Macaca mulatta: one gene and its partner. The protein of the gene in region 1 interacts with the protein of each later gene in a pairwise test. Links are inferred from orthologs where the notes say so. Each region holds a gene or a part of one and is shown in the gene's direction. Other genes may lie near its edges.

Region 1 (2,594 bases):
CTGGCTAACTTGGTGAAACCCCGTCTCTACTAAAAAATACAAAAAACTAGCCAGGCGAGGCGGCGGGCACCTGTAGTCCCAGCTACTCAGGAGGCTGAGGCAGGAGAATGGCATAAACCCAGGAGGCGGAGCTTGCAGTGAGCTGAGATCAGGCCACTGCGCTCCAGCCTGGGCGACAGAGCAAGACTCAGTTTCAAAAAAGAAAAAAAAAAAGATGTACAGGTTATTCAATTGTATTGTTTTCTGTTATATTCAATTATATTCAATTTCCATTGTATTCAATTATATTCAATTGTACTCTGAAGATTCATGCATTTTACTGTCTGTAAATTTATAGCTACAAACTTATAACCAATTTTTTTTAAAAGAGGGTATGTGCCAAAGTTCAACCAACCATGTTAAAACTGACATTATTGGACTAAATGGATTTTATTTATTTACTATTAGGTTGTACTGAAATAACATTAAGATATAACAGGAAGATTAACATTAAGATGTAACAGGAAGTCAAGCAAGAAGGGAGTTTTATTTCCTTACATCTTTCATAGGTGCTCTTACACAGGTTTTCATGAGTTTGAGTTTGAGTAGGGATCTCATTGATTTCAAACTTGAGTGTATTTGTTTGCCTATATTAGGATGTCGTCTCAAAGAATTTTGTACCATTCTGTTTGCATTTAAAAGTTTAAGAGCTAGATTTGTCTCATTGTTTATAATGGGGGGATAGGAGGCTTGAGCAACCCAAAGGTCCATTAATATGAGATTGAGTAAATATTAAATAAAAGTACATCAGTATAATATAATGATGTCATAAAAAAAGAATGAGTAGAGTTATACACTGACTAATAACACAGAAAAAGAGAACCAAGATATATCGTTACATGGAAAAAGTAGCTGCAGAACTCTGTGATTAGCATGATCTCATTTTTAAAATAAAAAGGCACATATATATATATACCCATATGAATATATTTGCATATAGAGAAATTTTGGAAGGATGTAGATACTCAACTCATAATAATGGGTATCTCCCAGGAGCAGGATTTGGATAGAGGGAGAAAATTATCACTGCCAGTGACATTTGAGTTTTTTAAAGTGTATACATGTCATTTCTATAATTTTAAAAGATATATTAAAAGCTATATATTCAATTGTACTCTGAAGATTCATGCATTTTACTGTCTGTAAATTTAGAGCTAAAAATTTATACCCAATTTTTTTTAAAAGAGGGTATGTGCCATAGTTCAACCAACCATGTTAAAACTGACATTATTGGACTAAATGGATTTCTCTTTGGCACCTCACTTTAAATGTATGACTATGATTAGCTAATCATTGAGAAATTGAGAAGTTATTCTAATTCATTATATATCATTGTGATTATTTTGAAACATAACATTTACTATTCTTTCTCCTTAACATTTTTACTATGCCTCAAAGATTCTTTCTTGTCCCCCCAAACCCCCCAAAAAATGTTATTGCTCAGGAAACTTAAATAGACACTATTTTGGGGGAAAGAAAGTTGGCAATGATCTTTCGTTGCAGAGACATATTAAAAGATATGTCTTCTAATATCTATCTGTATTCTTCATACTCCAGACTCTTGTGGACTAGTCCTCATAGAAAGAAGAACTCACTCTCTACAATGTCGAAGTTCAAACTTCCGAGTTCCTTTTTGTGTCTCAGGCGAACAAAATGTCTGCTATTTTGGCATTTGCTATTTGGTACATATACAATGTGACAATATATGAAATTCCCTCAGGAAGCAACAACTCTCAGATAGTTGCATCCCTAAATTGATTAAATTTGTTGCATTATTTTTATGGCATCAAAAATACGGCATGTTTAAAGAGTCTCTTACTTTTTCTCCTTTCGATGAAGGACTCTTCTGAGGAAGATAAGGAAAAAGAAGAGGTTGCTGCTGTCAAAATCCAAGCTGCCTTCCGGGGACACGTAGCCAGAGAGGAGGTAAAGAAAATGAAAACAGATAGTCTTCAAAATGAGGAAAAAGAGGAAAACAAGTGAGGACACTGGTTTTACCTCCAGGACACATGAAAAATAATCCAAATCCATCAACCTTCTTGTTAATGTCATTTTTTCCTGAGGAAGGAAGATTTGATGTTGTGAAATAACATTCGTTGCTGTTGTGAAAATCTGTCATGAGCATTTGTTTAATAAGCATACCATTGAAACATGCCACTTGAAGATTTCTCTGAGATCATGAGTTTGTTTACACTTGTCTCAAGCCTATCTATAGAGACCCTTGGATTTAGAATTACAGAACAAAAGCATCTGAGATTACAGAGATCTCAGAGGTTATGTGTTTTAACCATTATCAAATGAATAAATCCTCTCTATCACATCCCCCAAAAATGTTCTTTAGCTCCTGTTTCACTCCTAGTGATAAAAAATTTCACTGCTTCTTAATGATAGTCTATTTTCTTTTGGAATTTTTAGAAAGATAAGCTGGAACAAAAATCTGCCTCCTTCAGCCTGGCCCACATGGTGAAACCCCATGTCTACTAAAAATACAAAAATTTGCCAGGCATGGTGGCGCACACCTGTAATCCCAGCTACTTGGGAGGCTGAGGCAGGAG
Region 2 (4,193 bases), on another chromosome or scaffold:
GCCCGGCTATTTTTTTGGTTTTTTTGTATTTTTAGTAGTGACAGGGTTTCACCATGTTGGCCAGGCTGGTCTCGAACTCCTGACCTCAGGTGACCAGCCTGCCTCACCTCCCAAAGTGCTGGGACTACAGGCGTGAGCCACCAAGCCCGGCCCTATTTTACCAATAATAACACTTCGAATCCTCCTAAGAGCCCTATGAGGCAGGTACCATTATCATTATTTTACAGATGAGGAACTGAGGCCCAGGAGAGACAACTAAACCTGCTGAGGGCCACTAACCAGCACCTGGTAGAACCAGGATTCAAATATGAGCAGGCTCGTCTGAACCCCATGCACTTGAGCACCCTCTGAGATAATTTAACCCCTTCATCGGTAGCAGATCTATGGTGGCCTCCAGAAATGGTTGCTAACTTACTATCATCGTTATTTCTGTCGTACAATTCATTTCTACCTTTCCAATAAACTTTCCCGAACCAGTGAACCTTACTTACTGCCCATAAAGTTCACCTGTGCCTCACCACCCTGCCCTCGCCCGAGTTTTCTGCTCTGACCGAATCCTCACACGCCAGTGCAGCCCCAGCCTCCAACACCAGGTGCACCGCCAGTGTATTTACTGATCCAGTGAATGAAGGTGGGCCCGGCCGGGCTGGTTCCCATCCTCTGATCAACGCCTAGGGGAACCAGTAAACTCCAATGCTGACCATAAGTGTCTCAGAAAGTAGGTCTGGAAAGCCCAGCCCTCCGCTCAGGAACCTATGAAGACCGGGGAGGATAGCGCATATGCGGCCGCAGGATGGAAACCTCGATCAGAAGGCTGGGGCAGGTGACTGGGCTTAATTGCAAATTTTAACATTTACTTCAGCAACCAGTTCATTAAAAACAAACTACTCTGAGGCCTCTTTTTTTCCCACCAAACCCAAGAGGAAGCGAAAAAGAGCGCAGCCGCTCTCCCTGGGGCCGTAAGTGCTTCCAGCTATCTGACCTCCACGCTGCCTGCTGCAGCCTCAACCTTTCCCCTGGTTCGGAGTTCTTTCAGCAGTAGGTCCAGGAAAACACCTGCCCCGCTCCCCACCGCCCCCCCCCCCACCGCCTCCCGAGACTAGGAGCCCGCCAGGGCTAAGTAGGAGGGATACCCTAGGGACCCTGCAGGGTTTTAGGGTTGGGGTGGATTGGAAATTGTTCATTGCCTTTCAGTTCCGGGACATGGAAGGACACTGAGTCACCAAACGCCGCCATGGGCCGGAAGCCACCGCCCTAGCCTCAGCTGCAATCTAGAGCGCGGCGTATCCCGTGAGCCCACTGGGGACTACGACTCCCGGCATGCTCCGCGGCCGTCGGAATTAACCCTTCAGGGCTGGGGGGCCGCGCTGTGCACCGCCCCCTCCCCAGCCACAGACGCGGACCCCGCAGGGTGAGTTTTGGGGGGCTGAGGAGAGCCGCTTTCTTTAAGGTTTAGTGGGGTGTGTGAGAGTGTGTGTGTGTGTGTGTGTGTGTGTGTCTGTGTGTGATGTATTTTGTAAAAATGGGACAGTTTGCAGTAATGAGATTCAGACACTGTTTTGCGAATGGGAGACCCAGCATCAACCCCGGGGCCTAAGTGGAGTCACTGCTATCTTCCTCAGAATGCTACCTAAATCCTTTCCTAATTTCCCCCAGAACAAAAGTAGGCCGCAACCCCTCCCCACTCCCAAACACCCCCCAACTTGGACTCTCTCCCAGTGCCCCCGGCAAGGTTTGTGACCTGGCCCCTGAGTCGGGATTTTTATTATACCCCTGGTAGTGGGATGAATACTCATGGAGGCCATAGGAGTGCCCACATCCTCTTGGATTAGGGAATTTAAGCCTTCTCCCAGAGCCCGCCCTTCTCGGGTGCCACCACAGGGTCCCCACAGGTTCAGCAAGCGCCCTACCTTTTGTTTGTGTTGAATGACAGTGGTCTTGTGGAAGAAGGTTCCTTCCATGGAAGAATGGGTAGCAGATGTTAAACCTGATCTTTGCCCCCACTCCTTCCCCTAAAACAACACTGCGCACTAGGAGACAATGAGGGATGTCACACTCCTGTTTCTATGACTATTCTTCCTTTATACTGTGAATAGTTTCAATTCTTGGCTGGGTGCGGGCTCAGGAACTACAAGTATTAGGGATTATTAGACTGTAGGGTTAACTACCCCTGCTCTTTACAAAGCCATGGTCAGAAAGGAGTGGAGGGGCTGGGCAGATGGGCTGCTTGTTTTTGTCATTGCTCCCAGACCACACTTTAACTTGTTCCAGTTCACACAAGCCTCCCTGACTGCTACCCCTCACCCCACCCTTCGAGAAGACTAAAGCTGCTGGATCACCTGCTTTGCCTCACCACCCCCATCTCAGTGCAAGCATCCTATCCTCACCCTGGAGGTTAACTACCTCTCATTCTGGGCAGTCCCTGGCTTCCTCCCCTACCCTCAAAGGAAACATTGTTCTTTTCTGGACAGCCTTTGGGGATGAGGGGACAGAGGGAAGAAGACCTTGGGGCAGGAGTCCTGAACCATAGGAGGCCAGGGGAGTGAGGGCAGACGGTTATATCTCTCCTCTACCTCATCCTCGCCACAGCCAACTGGCTCCCTGCCCCTGCCCCCGCCCCTTGACATCCCAGACTCCCTGGCTATTTAAACAGAGATGGGTGCCCCCATCCGCACACTGTCCTTTGGCCACCGGACATCATGCCTCCCAAGAAGGATGTTCCCGTGAAGAAACCAGCAGGGCCCTCCATCTCCAAACCTGCTGCTAAGCCAGCAGCAGCAGCAGGGGCTCCTCCAGCCAAGAGCAAAGCTGAGCCAGCTGTCCCCCAGGCCCCTCAGAAAACCCAGGAGCCTCCAATCGATCTCTCCAAAGTGGTGGTGAGTCTCTGGAAAGTGAAGATAATTGGAGGGGGTGGTTTGAGGGTGAGATACAGCTTAGGGGATTAGGGGGTATCTAGAAGGTAGGGAATCAATGAACCCTGGAATGAGATTGGGGCTTTCCCTTAGTCCCCCATTTGGAAGCATCCAGGCTTATGACTCTGCTGTTGTCTTTGCTGTTCTCTCCCTCTAACCTATAACCATGTGTGTACAGCACATGCACACTCACTTACCCCCTGCTGGAGGCAGGGACTCTTAGATGGGGAACATCTGGGTTCTGAGGACAGTTTCAAGGTGAAGGGAAAAGAGCTGTTGCCTGCCCCTGGCTGGTGATTCAACTCAAAAGGCCTGCAGCTCTGAACTCCAGGAAGGGAGGCTGAAGAGGACAGACTTGTTAGACAATCACAGCTGGGGGCCAGGGGTAAATTTAGCCTTTGTTCAGCCCCCAGTTATGTGAGGGATGCAGGGCTCAGGGCAATGGAGGGAGGGAAACAGGTGGCATGGGATTAACCCTGTTCCCAGGAAACCCTCCCCACTGTAATTCCTCTTCTTGGGATTCTCCCAAGGCCCAGAGCTGGGAATGGGACTGAGGTGGCTGGGCTTCCAGCCTGGTCCCTTTGGGCCCCTCCTCAGAAGTGGCTGCCAGTTGGTTGGGAAGAGTGCTGGAGAGGGACTGAATAAACTGTCATCTCTCCCCACCTGCTTTTTTCTTCCACAGATCGAGTTTAACAAGGACCAGCTGGAGGGTGAGGAGAAGCTGGTCTAAGCCCACTGTCCAGTCCCCAATCCCCTGGTCAGATTCTCTTTCTATTCCCCTAACCCCAGTCCCGACCTTGAAACCTCCCATACTAGTCCTCTTTTCCTCCCTTGTTCTGTTCACATAGTTTCTGAAATTCCCTTCTGTCTGGGGGTGATGGGAACCCCTAGTCAGTGTCTACACTGACCCTTCCTTATACCTTAGAGTTCAAGGAGGCCTTCGAGCTGTTTGACCGAGTAGGGGATGGCAAGATCCTGTACAGCCAGTGTGGGGACGTGATGAGGGCCCTGGGCCAGAACCCCACCAACGCCGAGGTGCTCAAGGTCCTGGGGAACCCCAAGAGTGATGGTGAGGGGACCCTTGGAACAATTTGGGTTTTTAGTTTTCAAAAGTTGAATGTTGGTAACAAAGAATGAGGTGGATCTCAGGACTTCAAAAACTGTCAAACACAGAAGCAGGAAAATATCCTAAATGCTGAACAGGATGAAAGCATTGTGGTAGGGTTGGGAGCCGGGTCCTATGTGATACTACAGTGACCTCTCCTTCATCTCTCTCCAACC

The links.
Region 2: the proteins of SPA17 (region 1) and MYL6B interact in binary tests that used the Homo sapiens proteins (3 or more experiments, as listed by UniProt). The two-hybrid records come from large-scale screens. The link is inferred for Macaca mulatta from reciprocal best matches to the Homo sapiens genes SPA17 and MYL6B.

What each region holds. Positions count from the first base shown.
Region 1 is NC_133419.1:125,100,313-125,102,906, forward strand, and holds the end of SPA17 (sperm surface protein Sp17), read left to right. Parts: intron 1-1,878; coding exon 1,879-2,022; downstream 2,023-2,594. UniProt on the Homo sapiens protein: Sperm surface zona pellucida binding protein. Helps to bind spermatozoa to the zona pellucida with high affinity. Might function in binding zona pellucida and carbohydrates.
Region 2 is NC_133416.1:63,303,944-63,308,136, forward strand, and holds the start of MYL6B (myosin light chain 6B), read left to right. Parts: upstream 1-1,366; 5' UTR 1,367-1,411; intron 1,412-2,632; 5' UTR 2,633-2,699; coding exon 2,700-2,876; intron 2,877-3,594; coding exon 3,595-3,622; intron 3,623-3,837; coding exon 3,838-3,981; intron 3,982-4,193. UniProt on the Homo sapiens protein: Regulatory light chain of myosin. Does not bind calcium.